7 linked regions of the Cricetulus griseus genome follow. The protein of the gene in region 4 purifies or fractionates together with the protein of the main gene of each other region. This does not show direct contact. Links are inferred from orthologs where the notes say so. Each region holds a gene or a part of one and is shown on either strand. Other genes may lie near its edges.

Region 1 (4,183 bases), on a different chromosome or scaffold from region 4:
CCAAGAGACAGATAAAGAGCCTTCAACCTGAGGGCCAAGTTCCTTAATGAAACCAGGAACTCTGCAGTGGTAAGAACAAGAGGATAAACTGAAGACTAGCACAGTTTTGCAGGGAGTCCAAGCCTCTCAGCACTGCCTCTGTCTGCTCCTTGGGAATGGGAGGTAAGGGGGTGATTCAGATACCTTAGAGGGGGAAAGGGTGCAAACAGGTATGGGAACAGGGACAGGTATGGAAACACAGTGTTCACATGGTATAAGGCCTGCTGTGAATGAGGGCAGGGCTTGGACTTGGTGATCCATGATGAGACTTGGAGGCCTCATAGGATGACGAACAGTGGCAATGTGTCTGGAGGTATACAAGAATGCCATAAGACAGTCCTCAGTTGGACAAGGCCAGGGTCCATTGGGACTCAAACAAGCTCCATCTTGGCCCAGAGCTGGTGGGTGGGTTGGCCTGGGGCCCTGGAGCTAAAAGTTTCATGGAAGAAGCCATTTGTCTGCAGGGATTAATGGGTTTTGCCAAGTTGCCCCTGACACCCTGCCCTCAGATGTGGACCCAACATTCTCTATTGCTGGGGTACACCTAGCCAAGAGCTGGGTCTGAGCACAGCCTGGTCCTCTCCACCCTTCCCTGCCAGAGGGCTTAGGCAAGTGGTGTGCACCGGGACATGACAAGTGGGACTCTCAGCAGGCAGGAAGGCTAAGGACTGATTGATCTACACCAGTTCTGCACATATCAAAAGAGAGTGTGGGAGCAGCGGAAGGTGGACCCATGACCCAACTCTCAACAACTGGATAGCCGAGCATCCCACCTGCGAGACGACAGAACTGGGCTAGAACTGGATCCGGATCACCAGTAGAAGTGGGGGGGGCGGAGGAAGGTATCTTGTGAGGCCTGAGGCAGCAAACTGTCCAACCTTGCACTGTCTGAGGAGATGAATCAGCTTCCGGCCCCGCCCCCGGGGCCGCACGTGACCCCAGGTGAGAGCGGAGGGGATGGGCGGGTCCGCCCTTAGTCACCGGCCGTCCAGCCCGCTGCCACTACCACTGCCAGTCGTTCCTCGCGTCGCCCGCTCTGCACGGCGCCACCTGCCCGGTAAGCGACTCCCTCCTCCGGGCAGGCCTCCGGGTTTGTGAGCCGTCCTTCCCGAAACCCGACCCGGGCTTGGGCCCCTGCTTTTGCTCCAAACTGGGACGGGGTTCCCTGGCAGCCCCAGCTTATTGCCAGGGCTCCGCAAACCTCAGGCGGATCCCAAGGCGCGGAGGCGCTCGGCCGCACCTAGACACTCAGGCTCCCTCCCCACGCCCCGCCCACACGGCCCGCCCCGCCCACACCGCCCTCTGACCCGGTCCGCGGTCTTCTGCTGGTTCCCTCAGGTGGGTTTCGCAGAGGCGCTGAGACCGTGAAGCCCGAGAGCGCGGTGCCCGTCGGGCCGCGTTCCCACATCGAGGGCCGCCATGGCCTTCTCCCAGGTGCAGTGTCTGGATGACAACCACGTGAACTGGCGTTCTAGCGAGTCGAAGCCCGAGTTCTTCTACAGCGAGGAGCAGCGGCTGGCCCTGGAGGCCCTGGTGGCCCGCGGTCGCGACGCCTTTTACGAGGTGCTGAAGCGCGAGAACATCCGCGACTTTCTATCGGAGCTGGAGCTCGCGCGCATCGTGGAGACCATCGAGGTGTACGACCCGGGCTCCGAGGACCCGCGGGGCTCGGGCCGCCGTCCCGAGCCCCAGGACAACGGAGGCGTGGATGCCAGCGAGGATGCCAGCGCTGCGGGAGGACCCCCAGCCACGGCCGAGCCATTGCCCTCGCTGGAGTACTGGCCCCAGAAGTCGGACCGCTCCATCCCGCAGCTGGACCTAGGCTGGCCTGACACCATCGCCTACAGAGGTGTGACCCGGGCCAGTGTCTACATGCAGCCACCCATCGACGGACAGCCGCATATCAAGGAAGTGGTACGCAAGATGATCAGCCAGGCGCAGAAGGTGAGGCGCCAAGGAGGGACCCCATTCACCCAGCACGCATGGGGACCCAGATGGCTCTGGGACCACTGACCGGCTTCTTAGTTGCCTCCTTCCGTGGGCAGCAGCCGAATGCCCACCTCCTCTCTAGCAGGCGGCACTGGGCTTCCAGACTCTAAGGTGCCTTACTGGAGTGTTTCTGAGCTTCTCAAATTGCAATGCTTGAGTGGGGTGGGAGGAATCTGAGCTTTCTCTCTCACCCACTCTTCCTTGCCTTGCCTCAGACATGCTAGAAGATAGAAGCTCGCACACATACATGAGATTGCAGGAAGGGGACTTGGGGAGAGGCATGGAGGCTGGTCTGGGGCCCTGAGAAAATCTGCCTGCTTCCTAGCTACGCTGAGTGGCTGGCCACGAGCTGCTCAGCTTCACTTGGAGTAGCAGCCTCTGTCCAGGCCAGGGTGTCTGAATGAACAGGGTGCCACCTGTTGAAGGTTCCCACCAGTGGAAGAAGTGACAATGTCTACTTGGTTAGTGGTTTGTCATTAGGAGGCTTCTAGGGCCTTGTTTGGATCCTCTTACCTGACATCCACTGGGCTACACAGTGCCCAGGCTATGGGTGACTGCTCCACACTGACACACTGACACACATCCTGAGAAGCAGTGTACATTGCTTGTACACACAGCCAAACCATAACTGGGTGGCTGGCCGTGGCTGTGAGTGGAGGCGTGCCTGATTTGACAGGCAAGGTAGTCCAGCAAACTGTTCTATCTGGAGCAGGTCTGGTAGTAGTGAGAGTGTTCCTAGCTGGGTCTGACCCCTTTACTGTTCAGGTTCAGAATGGAGCAGTGTACATGACAGATGTTCGCCCTGGGGACTGTCCTGGCTGACAGGTCCTGGGGAGCTCTTGGGCAGAGAGAGACCAGAAGTAGGTCAGCAGCTGAGAAGGTGGCCTGGCTGGTTTCCAGCAGGGTGGAGGCTCCGTCCACAGGGCCACTAGCTGAGGGTTTTTAGTCTGTAGATGCAAACTGCATCTCTGGCCATTGTGATGATGGAGTATTGGGTAACAGGAATGAGGAAGGACTGGATAATCCTCTGGATATTTGACAATAGCTGAGAATCTGTTGCTCCTAAAAGGGCCTGGGGTGACTTCCACTTGTGGCAGAGCCCAGTCCCTTGAGAGGAGGAATAAAGACTCTGAATGGGGCCTGCCCTGCTGTGCCAGCCCTCTCACAGCAGGTAGGAGGCAGCTGCCACCTTCCAGCTTGGCTTGGGAACAGCCACAGGCTCTAATCTTCTGCAGACAGAATGACATAGGGCCAGCCAGTGATAGGGACAGATAGGGGTGCCTGGGGCCACAGTGTACCCTTAGGGCTTCCTGTCCACATCCTTGTGACCACAGCTAAGATGTATACACCCTCCGCACACCTATAGCTTCATATTCATCCATTCCCGCTTCTCCAAGGTTATTGGTGACACCTGTCAAGGGTGACAGTCAGGAAGACATTGATCTTAATGTGAGCCCCGTCTATGTGGCACTGTAGTGGGTTACTTCTGACTGCCTATCATGGGGAGGTATTGCCTTCTGTTTCCCACACTTGGAGTCTGTTCCCCACAACAGGGAGTCCCCAGGGGTCCTTAGAGTTGACAGAGGCCACGGCCATCTTACAGAGATCAAGGATTTGTTCACAGCCCTACTGTGCTGTCTTGAGCCCTACAGGCCACTCCCTGTGGACCTGTGTGAGTCCTTGTACCCCCATCTCTGTCCTGTGGCCCACACAATACGTGGGAAGGCTGTAATAATAGCTTCAGTGGAGTGCGAGCACTTTATAATCTCAGGTAGTGTTATCTGCCTCTTTTTTCACATGTAAAAACTGAGGCCCGACTGATTAGTCCTTCCTGCCCAAGATCTCTTAGGCCTGTTGTACTCCAGGACCTACTCTGGTGTGGCACCTGGTAGTAGAGCAGTGACAAGTAGGACCTGGGAGAGGCAGCTGACCTCAGTAGTCTGAGTCTTCACCTCCTTATTGCTGCTTCCCAGCCTCCTCAGGCAGGCCCAGACGCCAATGGATGCTGACAGAGCGCTTTGCCCGCCCTCTCCTTGCTCCTCCCTGTAGGAGCTCTTCGGTCTTATCTCTCACCATGAGTCACCTCTTGCCCCTGTCACCCACCTCCCCTTTTTACCCTATGCCAGTGCTAGGGGAACCCCAGCTTCCTAGGGTT
Region 2 (4,119 bases), on a different chromosome or scaffold from region 4:
GTTTCCTTCACAATGTGTTTCCTGATACTTATTGTGCTGTTACTTATCAGGTATTCCTGATTCACAACTCATATTTTGCTAATAAGTGATTAACAAGTACAATTCATATAACACAAATTCTAAATAAGTTTACAAAAAGTTCACTACAGAAATTTCAGCAACTTACTTTAAGAGTAATCATTTAAGAAAGACAAAGTAGAAGGTGGCAATCAAGATGTAGCTTAGCAGTAGAGCACCTGCCGGCATTTATAAGGACTTGGACTTGGTCTCTAGAGCCACAAAAACTCCCAAAATCTATACATCTGTGCAGATGCATGTTATAAGACCCCTAGGGTAGAAGACAGAGTTCTAAATACACAGGGAAAACCAAGCAACTTCTTTGTTAACTGACTGCTCAGTGCTTCCCTGTGCTACTGCCTTATCTCAGATCTGTCCTGGAGAAGCGGTTAGGACACAGATCAGGTGGTCTATTACACACTTTCATCCTCAAATACTTTTTCTTTAAAGTCAAGGGTCTCCATAAGTATCCCAGGTTAGTCTCTAATCTCTGCAACACTGAGATTGTAAGCCATGCCAATACTGTATTTATTTATAGTTAAGGTGGTTTGAACCAGGCTTTGGTTGTGCATGCCTATTGTCACAGCAAGAGAGGCAAAGGCAGGAAATGGGAGTTCAAATTCAGCCCGGAAAACATGGTCACGCCCTATCTTAGAAAACAAACAAACAAAACAATGAATTAAAATTTTAAAAGAGCTTTAAGCTAGGCAGGCATGGTGGCTCAGGCCTATAATCTCAGCATTTAGGGGGTAGAGTCGAGGGGATTGCTACAAGTTCATTCTACATACTGAGTTTCAGTCTAGCCAAGATGACACTGAGAGACCACATTTCCCAAAAGCAACAACAAAAGTGGCTTAAGAAGCAGGTTATGCATCACATTTACCTGTTTCTCTTCTTCAGGCATGTTTTTTTCCAGTTCAGTTAGGTATTCCTCATCTAGTTCAGAGGAACCAGACTCATCAGTGGCTTTGTCCCCCACCATCTGTGCCCCTGGCTGCTCCTCCTCGAAGGAGGCACTACAGTCATGAAAACATTCCTCTTCTCCATGGTCCTCCTGGGAATGGGCTCCATCATCCTTTAGTAGCTTGCTCTGGGAATGCTGGACCTTGGGATCAGAGACCTGGGGGCTGGCTGACTCTACTTCCTGAGAATCTGTAACTTTCAAACCATTGAACAGATCTTCGGGAACCTTACAGTTCTCTGACTTCTCACCCATGCTGAGTTCAGGGGGGGAGGTGAGGCTAAATGTCTGGAAAAAGGAAAAAAAGAATGTGTTATGTAATGATGGTTATATATATATATTCTTAAATTTCATATCACACCTAAAAAAAAACCTCTGCATTTAATCCCCAAACACAACTTAACTCCACTGGGTATCATTATAAACAGGATATTGTCTGGTGGTGGTGGTGCATGCTTTTAATCCCAACACTCAGGAGGCAGACAGGTGGATCACTGTGAGTTTGAAGCCAGCCTGGTCTACAGATCCAGTCCCATGGCAGACTCCAAAACTACAGAGAAACCCTGCCTCGAAAAACCAAAACCAACCAACCAACCAACCAACCACATAAAATAAATAAAAATAAGAACAGGATATCACCAAGTGTGATGGCCCATACTGGCAGTCATCATTTGAGAGATGGAGGCAGGAAATTCAGAAGTCCAAGGTCATCCTTGGCTACACTGCAAGTTTGAGGCTAATCTAGGCTACATGAGACCCGTATTAGCTCCTTCCTCCACCCAAAATAGATTATAATAAACCCACACTCAATGCCAATTATCATTTTAACTGATGGCTTTTCCTAGTCAAATATGGTATTGGTCTTATGACACTGATATTCCCACTTCCCACCGGTGCTGGAGACGGAATCTCAAACCTTATGGTGCTTGTAAGCCACTGTTTTAACCACGGAGCCACACCCTCAATCCATACTCTAAATTAAAAGACTGATTTTAATGTGACCCTACAACAAGCTGCTGTTTGCTGAGCAGCAAAAATTAGGCAGCAGCCAGAAAGAGTGGCAGGAAGAAAAAGAAAAGGTTCTAATCTTTGTCCAGAATAAATGATCAAGTCATCAACTGGAAACAACGAAGTCCGTCTGGGCCACCATCGCCACCGGAAGCCGGAGAATAAGTTTCTTGTGGAGACCAATATGGCATCTGTGCCCAAACTCTGCCCGTCAATTTAACCGAAATGCAAGCGGCATAGCCTAGGTAGCTAATTCTGGAAGGGGAGCCTTTGCGCAGGAGTTTTCACAGGGTTGCTCGAGGTGGGTCAGAACCAGGGATTGGAAGGGCTGGTTGTCAACCCTCACGGCGCAACTCTGCTGTCCAGACACTGACATTATTTGTCTGCGGTCGGGCCAGGGCGCCTGTATCTTTTTTTTTTTAAGTGACCTGGGTGATTGTAGTATATTAACCACCACTGCTCTAGAAGCTGAGTCAGAACCACCCCTCTGGTAAGCAGCAAAACCATGCCAATGACCCAGTGTCGTGTTTAAGTCCGAATTTGTCCTAGCCCGTACCAGGAACCTCTACACGGATGTCACTCCCCTCCCGGATCTGAGTCAAGGTTAGGAAGGCGCCTCCCCGCGCGATACCGCGCCTGTCCCCCTGCCACACTCCTCACCCCACGCCGCAAGACCCACGACGTTCTTCCCAAGCTCGTAGCTCTGCTTTCCACCACTCGGCCCTCGGAGACCTTCTACTTCCCCTCAGTCAGGTACACTTCCGGCCGCGCTCACCAATGGCGTCGTCGTTGGCAAAGCATTCTGGGAAATGTAGTGGCCAACTCGGAAAGTGAGCGGAAGTAGCTATGTGACGTCACCGTACGGCTCAGGACTATGAGCCACAGCTACCGTCTTGGGTTATGTCAAAACCTATTCAGCACAAATTGTTTTAAAAGTGAGTGCTCGTTGTTTTAAAAACGTCACTCTGGCGTTCCTTGTGCTAATAATGTGTAGAAGAATCCGAAAACGAACTTTATCTCCAAATAAACATTTCTCTCGAGTAGTTTCCTAAGTGACATTCAAGAGATCTGCTAGGAGAGTAACAGTTTATAACACTAACAATTGCATACGCTTTTTACTCATTTTCTCATGGTTGTACGGTGTTTTCCAGAGGCTGTCTTATGATACAGTGCAACAGAAGGCATGTAAAAACAAGTAGGTGATGCCAGCTGCTAGGTAAGCCCCTCTACCCAATGAAGCATAAACCATATCTCTGGCTCTAATCTGTATTTTTCTGACAAATAGGATTGTGAGGGGATGGTGAGATGATTCAGTAGGATAAGGTACTTGGCAACAAGTTTGATGAGCAAGAGTTTGATCACCAGGACCTGGGGAACCTAAAAAGGATACCACATAACTTAGTCTTTCAAATCCTTTAAATAATGTAACCTTAAAAGCCACCAAAACAGCTAGATGAAGTGGCTCATGGTATAATCTCAGTGCTTGAGAGGTGGAGGCAGGAAGATCACAGAAGTTTGAGGCCATCCTAGGTTATGTAGTAAGTCTGAGGTCATCCATGGCTACAGGGTGAATACCTAGCTAAAAAAAAGTGCTAGTAAAAACGTATTAGCTATGGAGACATTTTACTATGCCTGCTGTAATCCCATCTGCCTCCATGAAGGCAGAGGCTGGAGGCTGTTTCAGGTGAGCCTGCCTGGGCTATTGAGAGTTCACAACCAGACTGGGCATCTAAGTAAGACCATATGCACACAAAACAAAAAGTCAAAAATGGACTGAATTGAATAGTGCTTGCCCAAGCATGCATGAAGTCCTAGGTTTAATCTCCATCACTGAAAAGAGAAGGAGTGTGGGGGAGGAAAAAGGAGAGGAGGAGGAGAGGAAGAGAAAGTATGACTTAGATATTTAAGCAAGACTTCTTCAAAGACCAACTCAACTTTATGATGTATATATGCCTGTCTTTTTCTTAAGCACTCCACTTTTTTTTTGTTTCCTTTTAAACAGGGTCTCCCTATGTAGCCCAGGCTGGTTAGGGTTGTAGACCAAGTTGACCTCAAACTCACAGAGATCTGCTTGTCTCTGCCTTCAGATTGCT
Region 3 (4,045 bases), on a different chromosome or scaffold from region 4:
TCCTTTATAGCAGCCCAGGTTGGCTTCAAACTCAGGTCCTTCAGCCTCACAGTTCCTCTTTTGCTTGATAAAGTTATGAGTTGCTGTGCCTGTTTGATATTTTAAATTTTTTACATTTATGGTGTGTGCACACACACTCTTATGGAGGTCAGAGGACAACTTGTAGGAGTTAAGTTTTCCCCTTCCACCATGTAGGTCCCAGGAAAACAACTCAAGACTGGCATGCTTGGCAGCAAACATCTTTACCTGCTAGGCCATCTTGATGAACACAGATTTTATCTGTATTTTGATACAAGGTTCTGCTGTCACCCAATCCAGCCTTTAATTCCTGGGCTCAAACAATCCTGCCTCAGCCTCTTGAATCGCTGGTAGCACCAATATACACTATTATTCACAGTATGTTTTTATCATTTTAAATTAAGAAAGTATGGCTAGGGTTTAACTCCTGTGGAGGCAGCTTAAGAATGAATGAAGGCTGGACATGGTGATGCACGCCTTTAATCCCAGCACTTGGGAAGCAGAGACAAGCAAATCTCTATGAGTTTGAGGCCAGCCTGATCTACAGAAAGAGTTCTGGGTCAGCTGGAGCTACACAGAGAGACCCTTGTCTCAAAAGCTAAAACAAACAAAAGAATGTCTAAGTTGAAACATTCTGGGGTCCAAGAGATCTTTGGGTAGACAGATCTGGGTGTGAATTCTGCTGCATGATGTCATCTGTGTCAAACTCAGATGGCTCATTTGGACAAAAGTCATCAAAATAAGTCTGTCTACAGAGCCCATTTAAGTTAGCCCTCTTGGATGCCTGATAAACAGTAGCTGGATTTCATCCCAACAAAAACAGCTGGCCAACTCGGAGACTGATCTTTTTCTTGGACCCCTTTATCCTCTGTAGCTCTTAGTTTCTGCTGAATGTGTCTGATATGCTTGAAGCTTTTTCAGCACTATGTCCCCTCAGTTTTCAAAAGGCTACTGCAATATACACCCCACTGCCAGAACCATCTACCTCCTGGTGGGCCTCACCTGCCAAGGGGGATGGCCCTCCCCTTCTGCCTGGGCCCCTCCAAGCTCAAGTCCAAGACCTTTTTGGGCACTACCCACCTGCTCCTGTCATCAAGCCCTCAACTACAAGCACTTGCCTCTCCGTCCCCCGCCCATCAGTGACATGCCAGGCCTCTTTAGACTGCCCCGCTGTTTGAAAGGGGGGAGGGGCAGAAAGTTCTTGGGCTTCGGTGGCATTCTGGGGACTCAAACACTGAGAAGGGCAGAGCTGGTCACAGCCCCTCCCCCCTTTTGGTGGGTCTGACTATTTCTGGGTAACTGAAGGGGATCTGCTTTAGCTTAGAATTACACCACTTTAAGAGGTGAGAGCATTGGGAACAGGCACAAGGTCCTTCTGAAGGCATTTCAAATACAGAATCAGTTTCTTTACCTGGCTGGAAAAATTCAGCATGTTTGGGGTGGGGAAGGGGGGAGTAGAACACACCTCCCTTTGGATGAGTCCAGGGTATGCACAGTATCCATCTGTCCTCAACAAACCAAATCATTAGCTGTCACCTTTTGCTGGGTGTCGTTACCCTACCCTTGCAATTCCTTTCTGACCATCCCAATTCAAGTCGAATGAGCCCTTGCTAACACATTTCATTCTCAGCCTTGAACCAGGCAGAGCGAAACAGTCCCAGGGACTGGGTGAATGACAGAACTGCAGTTGTGAAACGACCATTTATTGAGGGGCCTTCCAAGGAACCCAGAGCTTAGGGCAGGCCAGGAGATGGGAGGGTGCTCTGCCGATTTCCCCCACCCGCAACCCAAGAAAGAGGACAGACGCAATGGCTCTGAGCGAGACCAGCTAGAACTTGGATCTGGAAGCGCAGAAGCAGCTCTCTAGGTTCATAAACAGTCTGCCCACCCCAGCCAGGGCCAGACGCTTACATGGAGGAGGCAGAGTGACAGGATGAGAGGGGCAGAGGGACCCAGAAAGATCTTGTTCCCCATGCCAAGTGACACAGAAAGGGGAAAACAATGCAGGAGGTGGTCCTGGGAAACGCTCATGGGGCAAGGGGGCTTGGAGATGGGAGAATCGAGCAGGGATAGGAGAAAGATGGCGGGGGCTGGAGGGGGAGGGGTGTGGTCACCAAGTAGCTAAGGTCCCTGCAGAGTGGACCCCACAGCACTCCCGAGATTGGCAGGAGGCTGGATCAGGGTCAGGCATTGGGGCGCTGTGTGGAAAAGGTGAGTGACGAAGTGTGGGGGGATTAGAATATGGGGAAAGGGACTAGGAGAGGAGGGGGTGGGGTGGTGACAGGGCCCCATCTGGGGCCCCGGCGGTCATGCATGCAATGGTTGGCAGTGACAGCTGGGTGGGGGTGCACGGCCTTTAACGTGGGGGATGGTCGGCCATGGGCACGGGAGCCCTACCAGGGGCAAGGTTCCTCTGCGGTGCTCGGACCCCAGCGTGGACAGGCAGCAGGCAGCAGGCAGGGGTGCAGGCGGACAGGATGGGGGGGCACATGGGGGAGGGGCCATGCAGCGATGGCCAGAGCGAGGGCAGGCCGCAGCAGCCGGGACTAGGGTGACGGCCGGGAACTCACCGCTCTCCTGCTCGCTGCCCTTCTTGGCGGCGGCGGCGTTGCCCATCGCGGCGGCGTCGCGGCCGGGACCGGTCCCGGAGCTGCGGCGCGGCGGGTGCTAAGGCGGCCGGCGTCCCCGGAGCGTGCTGGGCAGCGGAGGCGGCGGCCCCTGGGGCTGGCTGCGCTGGCTGCGGCGCCACGACCCCCGCCCAGCCCCTGCTTCCCGCGTCTCTCTGCGCCCGCCCGCGGGGGAGCCTCAGCCCAAGTCCTCTGTCCGTGACGCCCCCGCACCCCGCCGCCCATTGGTTCAGGCCTCCCTGACAGACAGCCTCGCGCCGTTGTCCATTGGCCCTCCGAAACCTTCCCGCGCTACCATAGGCTCCCGGATGCTTGACGCGAGCTGCAGACGCTCAGCCACTCACGGGCTCGCGAGGCCGTAGTCGGGCGGTCGGATGCATGTGATTGGCCGAGAAGCCCAACAGGGCTTGGGGCTCGCCCTGCGAGGCCGCCGATTGGCTGAGGCGCGCGGCCTCAGTCAGTGTCAATCCCAGGGTGAGAGGGCGGGGTAGCTGCGCAGGCTGCGGCCCGGGGGGGCAGGCGTGCGGGCGGGGCGGCGGCTGGAGGGTAGCCGGGCGGCAGACGCTGCAAGGTGCGGGAGGCGGCCCCAGCGGACGCCGGTGCGGCACCGTGAGCCCTGCAGTCTCCCGCCCTGCCCAGTGCGGCAGCGGCCACGGGCCAGCGGAGGTTGACGCCACGGCGGGCCGGCGCAGAGGCTTGTCCACCTGCCAGCGGGGGAGGGGCCGACTGGCGCCGCGGGTCAGAGGTCGCCGGGCGCCGTTCGGCGTCATTCATAAGGCCTGACGCTGGGCGGCCGTGACCCGGCCAGCTCGGAGTTCTCCTTGTTTGCTCTAGCCACAGCCGGAGCTGCAAGAGGATGCTGGATCCAAAAGTGAGGGCAGGCTGGGAGGAGACTCTTAATGTCCCGTTTACTGTGGCCCAGCCTTAGGCCCCTGAAAAGTAATAACGAGGACACTGGCCAAGTACATGACTTCTCGTTCCCAGCACATTGGAACTGTCACACTCCCATTTGATGGAGGAGGAATGGTGAGACTGGTTCCTTGCTCTAGTCCATTTGCCTGGACATCGCTATCTGGAACCTGCCCTCTGGGGACAGGCAGGGAGCCATTCTCGTTCCTTCTGGATGCCCATCTTTAAATTTTGTTTTCATGCAATGCAGGGGTTGAACACAATGCCTACCAGCTGCTAAGCAAGCATTGTTCCTTGCCCAGGGTACTCTTTCAAGTCTGTGCTGCCAGAACAGGGTCAGTTTCCCACTGTGCCACTGACATCAGGGGCCTGAGCACTCTGCTGGAGGGGTCTCCTACACACTAGTTGGTGTTCAGAACCCCCACCCTAACACACTGGATGCTGGTATACTTCCATCTTCCTGCTGCCTGGAGCAACATAAATCATCTCCA
Region 4 (3,226 bases):
TTAAGAACAAATAGGCCTCAAAATTTAAGCTGCAACAAAAGCTCCTATAATCAGATGCCCGGGTATATATCCACATCCAAGACAGACAGATCCACAGTTCTCAAGCTAGAAGGCAACCGGAGAGACACTCAACAAACAGGCCTAAGAAATGGGCCTAGAGTGGACAAGACTGTATGCAAACTGTATAGCCGGCAACATAGGTTGTTAGGCTGAGGGTGTCTGACCTCCCCAGCACAGCCTGGCCAGATGCATGCCTTGGTTCCCCCTTCTCACCTCCACCTCTCTACTGGGCCAACACCGTGCTTTCTTGTTACCAAGCAGCCTGAGGAGCTTCTACTGCCCGGACCCACATCAGAGGTTTCAAAACTCATTTCCCTGTGTTAAAATAGTATGGGCATGGGGGCTGGAGAGATGGCTCAGAGGTTAAGATTACTGACTGTTATTCCCGAGGTCCTGAGTTCAATTCCCAGCAACCACATGGTGGCTCACAACCATCCCTTATGAGATCTGGTGTCCTCTTCTGGTGTGCAGATATACATGGAAGCAGAATGTTGTATACATAATAAATAAATAAAATCTTAAAAAAATATATAGTATGATTTGGCCCCCAACCAAGACCACCCAAGGGATTGGCCAAAGCGGGGTCTGACAGTGAATATTCAAAGAGCTGGCTCAACTTAGACAAATGGAGTGGGGATGGGTCTGGCTCTGAGGAAAACAACAGTTGGGCAGGTACAATCCAAACACCCTTTCAGGAGCCCCAAAAGAAAGCTCTGCAGGTGAGTCTCCTGGGGAAGTAAATGCAAAACAGCACACCAAACCCACACTGCCCACAGAAGCTGCTCAGCAAGGGCGAGCGGGCGGGCGAGCAGGCGTTACCTTGAGCTGCCGGCCTTCCTCCCGCAGCCTCTGCACCTCCCCCTGCAACCGCTTGCACTCTTCCATCACTTTCTTCACTTCGGCGTCATCGAGGGACGACGTCAGGGACTTGGCAGCTGCCGGTGCTTCTGTCTTGGGTGCACTTGTAGGTGTGATTTTATTTATTTCTACATCGTGCTGCTCAGAAACAAAGGAAAGCCCAGGGTCACCAACTATGTGAGCAAGGATTTTATGCAAAGTATTTCTCAGTACACAGTACATGAGGTAGCATTCCATCCACACTGTAAAATGTCACATTTATTTTTTAAATGCATCACTTTATCTAGTATCTTGATAATCTAAAGCTACCAGGCCCTAGAAACTATGGATAAGGGCAAATAATGAAGCTGGGCTGAGGCGAATACTTCAAGGAGGAGAAAAGGGCTGTGCACACTGCACTATCAAATTCCTGCCATGCAAAAATTAACATACTGCAATTGTGCAAGCTCAGGAATTATCAGCTGCAAATTACCTTTGCAGGAGAGCTGAGCATCCCAGGCCGCTGGGGGTGGGAGGTAGGAGGCCTAGAGAGGACTACACATGGACCACCTTACAAGCAGGGATGAGGACGAACAAGCTTTGAAGGCCAAATGTGTTCCCCTGCATAAAAGGAGTCATGGTACCCTCTTGGAGGATGAGCCAGTCAGTGGAAGCAGGGCTAGGAGCACTCAGAATGGTGGCCTGAGGCTCTGGGTGGCAATCTGAAAATCAGACACCTAGTTCCAGCCCCCTTCACCTCCCACAGAAGGGAGAGCCTTGGAGGCCAGAGTCCAGGCTGGAGCCCAATTATCAGGGGGCTGGGGGTCATGATCCATGTTCCCTGCTTCTAACTTTCCTACAACAGGGTGATGTTCTCTCTGATTCAAATAACCAGAGATGGCTGTAGCTGATGATAGAGCAGAAGAAACCAGGCAGTTCTGACAGCAACCAACAGCATTCTTGGGCTCCTCACAGTCATGTGTAAAGACACTGTAGCGTGCCTTGCCTTCCCAGCTCCGTCCATCACTGGCAGAGACCTAAAGATCACCCACGGTTCTTACTTCTTGACACAATTTTACCTTTTCCGGCTACTTTGAAGGGAAGTGTACATCAGTATTTGAAAAACCATCTCCTGTCTTCTGCTGGTCCCCAGTGAGGGCCCAGATTGGGGCAGTAGATGTGTAACAACCTCCATGAAAATCTGGGGGTACTGCTAGTGTCTAGGGAGCAGGGTCTGGGACAGTGGGTGCTCGGTGCTCAATATCCCACACGGCACAGGATGTAAACACATGCCAACAACAGTGAGGCCAAGAGACTCTCATCTCAAGGAGGACCGGCACTGAGGGAGTTGGTGGGGAGCAGATGCTGAGGGGAATACTGACAGGATGCTCTGAGAGTTTACCACCTGTCTGAGCGCCCTGAAAAAGGGCCAATCACCCCATTCTGGTCTCCCCACTTCACCAAGCAAAGACTCCCTGGGATTCTGACTGCAGCTGCTAACAGGTTACTCTGCTCAAGGGGAAACTATTTCAGTTGGCCATTTTCTGCAAGTCTTTGCCAAGGTTGATGTTATAATACCAGCTTATCTGTTGACTTCAGCTGATTTTTTTCCTTCATACATTAGAGGGAGGAAAATAATTTGCCAGTTTAAATCTTTGTTTCACAGGAGATGGCATGCAAATGAGTGTCTGCCTGCAACGTTCGATTACTGTTAACTGGAGACATACTTACTGGTTTAGCGTTTTCTGCTGGTAATTCAAACACACATCTAAGTTTTGAATCCATAAGGTCTTCCGGCTTTGCCTCCTTCCACTAAAACAATTTAAATTTAATAATCAGGGTATTATCAAGCTGCTGGAAGAATAATTCTCCTCCTATAACTGACAATTTCAGAAAAATACTCTTAATGAGAAAGCCCTGATGTATATCAAATAAAGAACTTAAGTCTGCTGAGACTTCAATATTTTTAACATGACAAGATTAAATGCACTCGCTCTCCTGAATATTTATCACACTTTGCAAACCCTGCAGTCTTGCTGCCTGGCTCCTTAGGGCCGCCTGCCCAAGCTTGCCTGTTTCTACTTCATGGGCAGCACAGGTCCAGGAAGCATTCTCTCCTTAAGGAACTGGAATCTAAAGGACAGGGTACCCACTCCCTAAAGAGCTGGAGGAGGAGGATTTGGCTGACCAGTCAACCACCAGTGGGGCCCATTCACCACAGAGCCATTCCACTACTGCATCAGAATGGCCCTGCCCACGCCACCCCCACCCACCAGTGAGGGCTAGGTTCCTCACTAATATCCCCTTCTAGACACGGGGAAGGGGTTGA
Region 5 (3,500 bases), about 54 Mb from region 4:
TGTGTGTGTGTGTGTGTATGTACACCTACACTGGTGTATAGGTGGTGTGTGTGTGTGTGTGTATGTACACCTACACTGGTGTATAGGTGGTGTGTGTGTGTGTGTGTGTGTGTGTATGTACACCTACACTGGTGTGTAGGTGGGGTGTGTGTGTGTATTTATGCACACCTGTGTGTAGGTAGGGTGCAGTGGGCACATGCTACAGCACTCCTGTTTGAGGTCAGAGGACAACTTGCAAGTGTTTGTTCCCTCCCTCACCATGTGGAACTTGGGCTTTGAACTTAGGTCAACAGCCTTAGCAACAAGTAATTTTACCTATGAGTCATCTTGTTGGTCTGGACTTCTCCGTTCTTTCTTTCTTTTTCCTTCTGGATAGTGACTTGGAACTTGTACTGTGACTTAGCTGTGAAATGTATGCTCTTAGGTGCTCAATTACTTCTTTGTAATTGAACTTCAGGAGAAGCAAATGGCCCAGCATAGTGTTGCATGCCTTTAAACTCACAGCTTGGGAGGCAGAGGCAGGTAGATCTCTGTCTGGTCTACACAGTGAGCTCCAGGACAGCTGGGGCTACATAGACCCTGTCTAAAAACAAAACAGAATAAGAGAAGTAAATGCTCTAGAATTCTAGGTTTGAGCCCCCCCCCCACACACACACACATCCCATGGATGTCTCTGTCTCCTGTTCCCCTTGCTTCAGTTATGCAGTTGCGGGCCATCCCAGGTGAAGCTGGAGATGCTGCAGTGCTGCCCGGCCTCCCACAGGAAGGACAGGAGAAGGTGCTCGACCGCCTGGACTTTGTGCTGACCAGTCTTATGGCACTGCGGCGGGAGGTAGAGGAGCTTCGGAGCGGCCTGCAAGGCCTGGCTGGGGAGATTGTTGGGGAAGTCCGGTGAGTGACCTGGTCTTTTGCTTTGCCCAGTCCCTCAACTATTCCTGGCTCCCACAGCTTTTTCAGCTGGAGTGTGTTCTGCCTTTTCTGGTCTCTCTAAGGAACAAGCCCGTTTTATTGTTGCTAACCCAATGTGGAAGAAGCTGCGTATCTGGTTCCTTCTCCTTCCCAAGTGTCTGCTGCCCCTGTGCCCTTTGGTCTACTGTAGCAGTGCAACCTCTTTGTTCTTCCTAATTTAGTCTGCCAAGCAGGTGGCTCCCTTGCTCTCCTGAGAGTAAAGACCTAGTGTGTTCTCCTTCCTTGGTCCTTTACTGAGGGAGGAGTGAGGGGAGACAGACTATATGGGTCCTAATGTGTCCTCTGGGATGTGACCTGCTTTCCAGATCTCATATAGAAGAGAACCAGAGAGTGGCTCGGCGGCGCCGCTTCCCGTTTTCCAGGGAGAGGAGTGACTCCACTGGTTCCAGCTCTATCTACTTCACCGCCTCCTCAGGGGCTGCATTCACAGATGCGGAGAGTGAAGGAGGGTGAGTGGCCGGCCTCTCCCGAGGCAGTTACAGCTGCAGCTGCATTAGACTTGTCAAAAGATTATTTATCAAAATCCAAACCAATGTGCCAGAAATAATGTTTGAATAAAAGTAGGGGTATGACTAAATGGAAACAACATCCCTGATTATGCCATTCAGACAAACAGGAATGCTAGCAGTTGTTACGTTGTACATCCACTACTTCTCTGAGTTGCCTTTTTATATTATTTTTAATTTTATGCATATAAGTTCATTGCTTGTATCCCTGGGGCCTGCAGAGGTCAGAAGAGGGCACTAGGTCCCCTAGAACCAGAGTTACAAACGGTTGTAAGCAGCCATCCATGTATGTTCTGGGAACTGAACTTGGGTCCTCTGAAGGAGTAGCAAGTGCTCTTACTTGCTAAGCCATCTCCCCAGCCTAGGGCTTTTTTTTTTTTTTCTTTTCCATCATTTTTTTTATGGGCATTTTTTGTGTCATCACAAGGGCTTCCTAAACATTATTTTATGACTTCATTTCTTTCTTTGAGTGGTGGAGCAGGGTGTGCCCAGGCTGTAGGCCTGCCATGCCCTCCCTTTCCCCAGGCGTCACTCTCCTCACCAGGCAGTCTGGTCCATGCTCCCTTGCATCAGTACAGTGGGGAAGTGACTCTCAGGTGCTCAGCAGATCTGATATAGGATTTACCATGAGGTGAGACAGCAGTGGTCAGGGGAAAGGCTTTTTAACTTTAAGCCATAGCTCCGTTCTGAATCTTTGTTCTCAAGGACAGTGTGGTGCCAGTCACCCAGCTGGTCTTCGAGACTTAAAGGCTGATTTTTCTCCTGGGTGGATCTGTTGACCTTTGTTCCTCCTCAAGGAATAGACTGGGTCAGAGAACAGCCAAGATCTGTCAGGTCAGAGTGGCTGAGCTGACTAGAAGTTAAAATCAGCCTCTCAGGATACTGCCGAGCAGATTCCTCTCTTTAGCAGGCAGCTTGTAAGGCTGGTACCATTGGTTTACTTCCTCTGATACTGTGCTAAGCACCTTAGCGGTGTTTTTTACTTAATCCTCATGATAATCCTGTGACCTGGGTTCTGTTTCTCAGATGGGGAACTTGAGATTATTGAGGTTTGACACCCAGACCAAGGGCAGACTTAGCCTGTCTGCTGCTAATCCCATTGTCCTGACAATCTGGTTTATCTGCAGCTGTGTTTGAGTCTGTGATCTGGGGAGTGGCTTGGTCTTCAGGGCATGTAGGACTACCATGGTCACATTTGTGGCATGTAGCCCTTGGGAGTTCTTCCCATTGACTGAGATGCCACAGCTCAGGAAAGGCCCAAGGTGCAGTAATAGTTTTCTTACTTTAGTCTTGTTTGTTTAGGGGGCTGTTATTTTCTCCTGCTTCTTCCTATTTTCCTTTTCATGCTGGGGATCAATCCCAGGACCTCCCATGTGCTAAGCAAGTGCTCTGCCATGGGCTTACATTCCTAGTCCCTCATTTGGTTTTTTTTTTTTTTTCCTACAAAAATTAAGAATAAAATTACTAGCTGGGTGGTGGTGGTGCAGGCCTGTAATCCCAGCACTGGGAAGGCAGAGACTGGTGGATTAAAAAAAGAAAAAAAGAGTAAAATTACTATCCCTTCTCATATTCCTGCCATTGGTCTTTAATGGCAGATTTTTTTTTTTTTTTGGTTTTGTTTTGTTTTGTTTTTGAGACAGGGTTTCTCTGTGTAGCTCTGGCTGTCCTGGAACTTTCTCTGTAGGCCAGGTTGGCCTCAAACTCAGAGATCCGCCTCTCTGTCTCCCGAGTGCTGGGATTAAAGGCGTGTGTACCATCTATGCTTGCTTAATGGCAAATTTGATTTCTGCTCAGGTGCCTTTTGAAACATGAGAATTGTTTTATTTTCTGGTGCCAAGGATTGAACTCAGGGCTTCACATATGCTTTGCATAGCCCAGCCCACTAATGAGTACCCTATCCCAAACAAGTGAACCTTGCTGTAGAATTCAAGCCTTTATTCATTATTGTTGTTGTCTAGATGTCTGATTTCTAATTGTGTACTTGAGGGCTAGTAGAACTAGTCCTTTTTTTTTTTTTTTTTTTGA
Region 6 (3,953 bases), on a different chromosome or scaffold from region 4:
GAACACACAAGAAGCCCAGTGCACAGTCAGCAACAGACACTAGCCATCAGATTTCTGCAAAGTACCTGCCATTTGCTTCACACGTGGGAATCCACAGTTCTCAAGTTATCATTATGCCCACCAAGCAAAGTGTTTTAAAGTAACCTGCCCAACCTTACAAACTAGGAGAATCTGTCCTGAAAAGGGACCACTGAATCCAGCTACAACCCTACCTAGCTAAGATAAGTGCAATGCAGCGCTCAAGGGAAGAACTCAAACTTTGAGATACTACAGTACACCAAAGGTAGCTATCACTTCCTCCTGGTCTACAGGCCTTCCCTGTCTTAAAGACCTTGCTGTAGCACTCTAAGAAGCTGAAGGCCTAGAAACTACCAGGCATACCTATGTCTCCCCACTATCCATTTCCTATTCCCATCTTACTACCTCACCCACAACCAACTTAACTAGAAGTAGAAAGCTGACCACAACATTCTCTCTATACGGAGACATTTAGAACTGACACTTGAAGTCTGTTAGAAACCTCCATGCAAAGTCAAGGTGGGTCTGATGAGGACATCTGGCAAACCAGAGACACAAAACCCAAGAGGTTTCAAGAGGAGGACAGTATTTAACAAACTGAATAGGGCATGCAACTAGTAGTAGAGAACTATGAGAAAATTCGTTGAGTTTCATCCTGAAGACTTTCTGGTCCCCAGGTCACTGAGCTAGAATCACAAACTGGGCCTTGGAGGCAATGTTCCAACGGTATGACAAATGCCTTTTTCAAGTAAGCTAATTCAAATGGCTTTTTGATTCTTGCAGCCAAATAATCCCCAAGCCATTAAGGAAGGTCAAAGAAAAAACACAGAGTAAGCAATGGCTAATACAAAATTGTTAAGTTTCCTCCTCCTGTCACGTCCAGTCAATAGTCCATACATTCCAAATGCTTAGCTCCAGGAAGTTCTTTTAATTTCTTTCTGTCAGAATGAGCAGAAAAAAAGAAAATACATGGACCTGCCCCATTGGCTTTTAAAGTTGTAAAGCACTATCCCCTGTGCCAACAGTGCCAGTCTGGATACCCTCAACTAACACTTGAGCTAGGCTCTTAGAGTTTCCTAACCTGGCTCAACACTTGAAGTGGGGGATTTTTTTTTTTCACTACTTGGGGCCACTTCACAAAAAGAAAAAAAAAAGGAAAAAAAAAAAACAACAAAAACAGTCTACATAAGTAATTACTCCATCCAAAGTGAGTCCAATTGCTTTTCATCAAACACAAGACAAAGCAACCATTGCCCTAAAAGTCTGAAACCCCGGCCACAAGGTCAGAAAGACTAGCAACAAATAGTTGTTCTCTTTGCCAAGATGAACGGGAGAGAACTTTATGTTATCTCCTGTGCCCATTCACCTAAGCTTTGTCTTCCTGTGTGGCTAAAATTCCCCACTTATAACTGGAAACTTCCCTTTACACAACCTGCTACATTATGATTTGAACCTGCGGAGTTCCTTTTCCAGATACTCAATCTATGGAATTAAAACAATAAAACCTACCATCCTTTCTCCCAGAGGATTTCTTCTGCTTCTAGACTTAGCCCTGGAATGCAGAAGCTAGAAAGGACTAGAAAATATCTCACTACAGTTCTGGGGCTTTGACTGCAGTATATGCAACAATCAAGAAAAAACGTCTGGCCACGGTGTAGACTGCAAATTCCCTTTCTGATCAGCTAAGCAATTCTGTTGCCTTCTACGTCAGTCACAGCTCGAGCGAGAACCCACTTCTTCCCCAATTCCCTAACGGCCCTTTATGTCTCCTAAGTCAGTTACTGACAGCAGAAATCACTGTCAACCCATGGTTCACAGTTCTTCCTGAAGAACAACACATCGAGTATGAATAACCAGGATATTCCTTGAAAAGTGCTCACGTATTTTGAAAGATTAGGTGGCACTATTTGAAATGACATCAGTCGTAGCAGTCACTGGGCTGCCATTTACAAAATAAAAAAATTAAAACAAAAAAAAAAAGCTCAGACATTAAAACGAAATCATCTTCGCATAAACAAACACTCCGTCTTCCCATCTTTCCTGAATACTCTCTGCTTCAAGTATTCTGATATATAACAAATTTGAGTACCGACATCAATAACGCTGCTAACACGGTGGGTGGGAAGACGCAAAGGAAACGGGCGTCTTTCAGAAGCAACCGAATTAATTACAAAGCTGATGACAAGAACCTCGAATATAAATTCCGGTATGCGCCAAGGCCATCGGCGATGTGTCTCGGCAGTGTTGCTCACCACCAAACGCCTCAAGCCTCCTCCATCCGATGGGTTTAATGAAGAAGGTGAGCAGAGTGAACGACTGTCACCCAGCCATACCAGGGCTCTAGGCTCTACTGTCACTGTGGTCTCGCCAGAACATTTTCTATCTGTCCGGTAGCTTGGCCAGCCTGGGGGCGAGCTGACAGCGATGCAAACAGCGGCCCCTCAACTCTGGGCAGCGCGGGGACCCCGGCTCGGGCGCTGACAGGGAAGGATGCTGTGCTGCGGACAAAGTGCACCGTCCTCCTCCCGCCCGCGCCCCTCGCAGGAGGGCCACAGCGCCCGCCCGCTCGCCGCTCGCCCGCCCGCCCGCCGGCCAGCCCGCCGCAGTCTGGACCCGCCCGCTGGCTGCCCGCTCCCCGCCCGCTCACCCGGAGGCGCAGCCTCTCAGCTCCCGGCATGTCACCCGCCCGTCACGGCCCGCAACGCCCGGTGGCGCGAGGCGCAGCGCAGCGGCGCCTCCCTCGCCCGCCCCGGCCCGAGACGCCACCGCCGCCGCCTCCCCACGCCGCCCACTCACTCTCGCGAGAGCGATCGCACCTCTCGCGAGAACGACCCCGTGGCCGAGCCCGCGCAAAAGGAAAGGGAGGGGGGGAGGTTAAAATAAATAAATAAATAAATAAAAGCCTTCCCACGTGCTCCGGAGGGCAAAGCAGCGGGCCGCCTGTCACGTGACGCCGAGGCGCCCTTCCCATTGGCCAACCGCCCCTCGGCCCGTGGGAGCTTTTAACGCGAAGCTGACCTACGAACTCTCCGCTGACGTCTTGCGCGCTTCCTGGTCCGTTGCCTTGGAAACGGCTTAACCCTTTGGTCCTGCCCAGCACCCTAGCCCAGCTCTCTCGCCTTGGACCGTCGGCCTTGGGTCGCCCCGCCTCCCTGGGGCTGCTTTCCCACAGCTGCAGCCCATCCTTCAGAGTTGCTCTGTTCAGTCCCCAGCATCTTCAGGCAAAACCACACGTCAGGCACCAGTCAGGCCAAGGCGAGCGCTCACCCTGCCTGGCATCGAAATTGGGAACTAGGCCTTGATCGCCAAGAAGCCGAGCCTCAGATAACGAGCTGTGTGACTCCCGTTTCAATGGGAAGGACCAGGGCGGTCAAGGTTGCTTGGCCTCCTCAAGGACATTGTGAAGAGTTTTGATGTGTTTTGCCCTCTTCAGGGGAGAGGGATGAGAAAGAAAGGACGCATCCATACACTCCTTCTCTTCAAAAGCTTTTGGCTATTTTCCTGCACGTTTTTAGGCATCATTCCAGGTGGCCTACTGCAGTATGATGAAGACAAATAGTGTAGGCTGTAGAGATCTGTAGGTGTTAAACACAACATGCAAATCATCCCCATCTGATGATGCTTACAACTGAGCCTCTACTTAGGGGGCGGTGCCCTCGGGGGAGGAAAGATTCAAGCAGTGCTTTGGGTAACAGCACTACAGGAATGGGAGAGAAAGAGCGGCTCTAGCAAAAAAAATAGGGCTACTTCACCGGCCCGAGATTGGGCCCAATCTCGCATATTTGAATGGCAGGAAATAAAACTGGAAAGATAATAGAGGCTAGATTACATACAGCTAATTAACCAAGAAAGGAACTGGAAATCTAGTCTACAGTGACAAGCGTTGAAGACTTACAAAAAGAGGAAATACCAACAATTATCTAAAAAAAAAAAAA
Region 7 (3,500 bases), on a different chromosome or scaffold from region 4:
GCTCTCGCTATGCAGCTTACATTTTATTTTTACAAAACAAAATTCTTTTTCTACATGTTTTCACTTACTATCCCAAACCATAGTTTTCAACAGGCTGTCAAGATGCAAAATCACATGTCATATTCCAGTGAAGCCCATACATGATCTATGTAAATGCATGTATATATACATATATATTCAATTATTAAGTTATGTACAAATAAACTCAACATGTAAGAAATTTCCATTTGAAGTGGTCATAATTTTAAAAATTTATTATCTGATGATGTTAGAAGTTCTAAGGCTACAAACTAAAGATCATCCAATACCACTGTCACCCTATACTTTACTGCAATGAAACTAAATAGGGAAAGGGCTAGGTCAAAGCAAAAGTCTTCATTTTGTATTAAAATCAGTTAATTTGTTGTTAGAATTATAAGGCTCTTTCCTCAGTGATAAATTATTAAATAGTAATACTGCACATTAGCTCATCCAAGTAATAACTGAATTAGCAAACCAACTATTCAGATACTCAAAGCCAATGAGTGAGAAGCTATGAATACCAACTGGTAATATCACATGTATCAAAGCTATCAAAGCAATAAAGTATAATTATTTCAATTAACAGACTTCAGAGATACTTCCAGTTGAAAATGGATTTCTTAGCAAAAGACAACTGAAAAAATAATAGACCGCATCAATATTAAAAACAAGCCTAAGGGGCGGGAGAGATGGCTCAGAGGTTAAGAGCACTGCTTGCTCTTCCAAAGGTCCTGAGCAATTCCCAGCAACCACATGGTGGCTCACAACCATCTGTAATGAGATCTGGTGCCCTCCTTTGGCCTGCAGGCAACATGCAGGCGGAACACTGTACACATAATAAATAAATAAATCTTTAAAAAACTAACCAAAAAACAACAACAACAAAAAACCAAGCCTAAGGACAAGATGTCCCACACCAATCACCACTATAAAGAAGTGACTTGTTTTTGTTTTTTTCTCAAGAGAATGCCTCACTACTTGGGCTGAGTAATGGTAAAAGCTAGTATAGAGTGCAACTCAGGACTGGGAAACAATAATATCAAGATACAACTAGAGGGGCTATTTTAGATCAAAATAAATATTAATGAATCTTTTCTTACAGAGTATGAATCAGGAAGAATTGCACACAGGTGCTTAGGAGTAAACATTCTCCCTAAGAATAGTCATAAACAAAACAAAAACACATATACACAAAGAAGAAATTATAAATAAATTAATATAACCACAATAATTTAATCCACAGTTACTTCTTCTAGGGCTAAACCTTATTTATTTCATGCCAGATCTTTTTGTGGCTGTTAAATTATGAGGTTTCAAATTCCATTAGCTCTTCCCTGTAATCAAAACTGCACTTTAATTTTTAAGAGACATAGTTAACTGATTTTTTTAACGTCTAAAGTTAAAAAAAAGACTTAACCTTTTCAAAAAATTATTGTAAAGATAAAAACCAAAGGAAAAATGGCTAATATTTAAAATAAACATTATTATAAATAGTTTAAATCGACGAGTTTTTGTTAACTAAGAAATTCACCATGATAGCAATTTTATAATTTTTCAAAAGGTTGTGAGAACTCTAATCTAGAAATCCAGCCAGCAAATATCATATCTCACACAGAAACTCCTTTAGCAGGTACTCAGTTAATTTTTAAAAGCTGTGTTAGGAGTCTCCCTAGCAATTAACATGTTATATAAAACAGAGGAAATGAGTAAATACCTGAACTGAAGTGCCTGAATCCTGCAAATGGCCACCAGCAACTGTTCCTTTGGAAGTTGCTAAAGAGACACTGTGCATCTTAGGGGTTCCCAGAGTATCAATATTTTCATCTGTCCTATGTGACTGCCAGACTTCTTTTCGATGATGGGATTCAGTAGCCTGCTGATCTCCAAAGGCAGCCCAAGAACAACCATCTTTCTGTTCATCCTCAAAAGCATTCCAATCTACAGCTTGAGTAGGACCTGCTGAACTAAAGTCTGCAAAATCATCTGAGTCTTGGAAAGCACTACCGCTGTCTTGAGTATTTGGCACAGAATCAAAATCTCCAAATTCACTGTCTTGACCATTTTCCAGTTTTGAGTCAGGTTCACTGTCTTTTCCAGCAGACTTTCCTGCCAACTGATCTTCCTCTGATAAACTATCAGAGGTCTGTTTTAGGTTGGATTCAGTAAATATCATTTCCTCTTGGCAAGAAACAGCATTTGTATCCTCAAATTCTCCAAAATCATCACCTGGTTCACTAAAATGTAGAAAATGCTCCGAGGACTCTTCAAAAGTGACATCACTCATTGAATCTTGAGTACTAGTAACAAAAGGTGGAGTGGTGCCACTGGCTGTACCAAAGTCACCAAAATCATCCTCATTGGTATCATGGCAAGTCACAAAGTCGTTACCACTGTCACCATTTTTTATGCTTGCAGCCGAATCATCCAAAACATTTTCTTCTGTGGAATCAAGGTTTGGGTTTTTGGAATTAGTAAACTTTCTATTTCCTTCTTTGGAAGAATCAACTTCATTAACATCAGAAGTTTTAATAGAATCCATGCATAGGTCAGCACATTTAGAAGCAAATAAATCATTTTCCTCACTTTTACACTGGTCCCTCCTAATGGCTTCTGAATTTTCAGTTGAGTCTACCAAACTCCACGTCTCAGACTGAATTCTTGAATTTAAAAATTCATTCTTTTGCTGTGTTTGAAGGTCTTGTTTGTCAACACTGAAACCTCTGTCAGTTACTACATGCACTTCTGAAACATAGACCTGATGTTCTCCATCAGTAACGCCTTTATCCTCAAAGCTTCTACCCAAAGACACATCCTTCAAAGAATTCAGTTCATTGACCCTGCTGATTCTGCTGTTTTCCTGAATGGTCAGTGCATCACCATCATTTAAAACTGCACATTCTATTTCTTCTAGTTGTATCCTTTCTGTTTGGGAAAATGCAGCAAAATCTGCAAATTCCTTAGTAAGACTAGCTGTAGAATCTAAACCACATTCAGTGCCACAAGTGCTAAGAGGCTTCAATCCCTTTGAATCAGTCATGTTGTCCAGGTCATCTGTTCCCTGAGGATTTACAGTTTCTAAACCTGCAAACCCATTTGTTAGAATTTCCAGACAAGGAGGCTTTTCACCGTTGCAGCTCTCTAATTGCTTGGTTTGGTGAACAATGTTCGGATCAGTTCTAAAATCACCTGGAGAGAAACTTCTGGGCTGTCCAGTGTTTGGTCCCTGCACCACAACTTTATTTAAATCTCCTGGGCTTTCCATGCCATCGATGGAAGGATCTGAAGTTTTAGATGGAATCATCTCTTTGCTGGTGGTAGAAAGTTCATCAGATTGACTTTTCACAGGAGTACAAAGTTCAGCAGTGATATCCTTATCATTACCATTTTTAATGGACTTAAAGCTCGTAAGGCTATCTACATTTTCTGAATAATTGTGAATTGGCATAAAATGGTTTGAAGGTACAAAGTCTTCTTTAGGA

The links.
Region 1: the proteins of Vapb (region 4) and protein FAM83G purify together in Homo sapiens (affinity purification with mass spectrometry; 3 studies listed by BioGRID and IntAct, counting the BioPlex papers as one, with this or other methods). This does not show direct contact. The link is inferred for Cricetulus griseus from reciprocal best matches to the Homo sapiens genes VAPB and FAM83G.
Region 2: the proteins of Vapb (region 4) and Ttc1 purify together in Homo sapiens (affinity purification with mass spectrometry; 4 studies listed by BioGRID and IntAct, counting the BioPlex papers as one, with this or other methods). This does not show direct contact. The link is inferred for Cricetulus griseus from reciprocal best matches to the Homo sapiens genes VAPB and TTC1.
Region 3: the proteins of Vapb (region 4) and Prkaca purify together in Homo sapiens (affinity purification with mass spectrometry; 4 studies listed by BioGRID and IntAct, with this or other methods). This does not show direct contact. The link is inferred for Cricetulus griseus from reciprocal best matches to the Homo sapiens genes VAPB and PRKACA.
Region 5: the proteins of Vapb (region 4) and Rmdn3 purify together in Homo sapiens (affinity purification with mass spectrometry; 4 studies listed by BioGRID and IntAct, counting the BioPlex papers as one, with this or other methods). This does not show direct contact. The link is inferred for Cricetulus griseus from reciprocal best matches to the Homo sapiens genes VAPB and RMDN3.
Region 6: the proteins of Vapb (region 4) and Akap11 purify together in Homo sapiens (affinity purification with mass spectrometry; 3 studies listed by BioGRID and IntAct, counting the BioPlex papers as one, with this or other methods). This does not show direct contact. The link is inferred for Cricetulus griseus from reciprocal best matches to the Homo sapiens genes VAPB and AKAP11.
Region 7: the proteins of Vapb (region 4) and Aftph purify together in Homo sapiens (affinity purification with mass spectrometry; 3 studies listed by BioGRID and IntAct, counting the BioPlex papers as one, with this or other methods). This does not show direct contact. The link is inferred for Cricetulus griseus from reciprocal best matches to the Homo sapiens genes VAPB and AFTPH.

Annotation. Positions count from the first base shown.
Region 1 is NC_048600.1:75,700,702-75,704,884, forward strand, and holds the start of protein FAM83G, read left to right. Parts: upstream 1-1,383; 5' UTR 1,384-1,458; coding exon 1,459-1,983; intron 1,984-4,183. UniProt on the Homo sapiens protein: Substrate for type I BMP receptor kinase involved in regulation of some target genes of the BMP signaling pathway. Also regulates the expression of several non-BMP target genes, suggesting a role in other signaling pathways.
Region 2 is NC_048600.1:58,410,263-58,414,381, forward strand, and holds the start of Ttc1 (tetratricopeptide repeat protein 1), read right to left. Parts: upstream 2,801-4,119; 5' UTR 2,687-2,800; intron 1,307-2,686; 5' UTR 1,274-1,306; coding exon 941-1,273; intron 1-940.
Region 3 is NC_048596.1:160,443,328-160,447,372, forward strand, and holds the start of Prkaca (cAMP-dependent protein kinase catalytic subunit alpha), read right to left. Parts: upstream 2,801-4,045; 5' UTR 2,635-2,800; coding exon 2,589-2,634; intron 1-2,588.
Region 4 is NC_048599.1:5,230,273-5,233,498, forward strand, and holds part of Vapb (vesicle-associated membrane protein-associated protein B/C), read right to left. Parts: intron 2,710-3,226; coding exon 2,629-2,709; intron 1,057-2,628; coding exon 880-1,056; intron 1-879. UniProt on the Homo sapiens protein: Endoplasmic reticulum (ER)-anchored protein that mediates the formation of contact sites between the ER and endosomes via interaction with FFAT motif-containing proteins such as STARD3 or WDR44.
Region 5 is NC_048599.1:59,331,828-59,335,327, forward strand, and holds part of Rmdn3 (regulator of microtubule dynamics protein 3), read left to right. Parts: intron 1-698; coding exon 699-891; intron 892-1,274; coding exon 1,275-1,418; intron 1,419-3,500.
Region 6 is NW_023276807.1:232,898,098-232,902,050, forward strand, and holds the start of Akap11 (A-kinase anchor protein 11), read right to left. Parts: upstream 2,801-3,953; 5' UTR 2,696-2,800; coding exon of another isoform or gene 2,666-2,695; intron 1-2,665. UniProt on the Homo sapiens protein: Binds to type II regulatory subunits of protein kinase A and anchors/targets them.
Region 7 is NW_023276807.1:85,786,905-85,790,404, reverse strand, and holds part of Aftph (aftiphilin), read right to left. Parts: coding exon 1,736-3,500; intron 1-1,735. UniProt on the Homo sapiens protein: Component of clathrin-coated vesicles.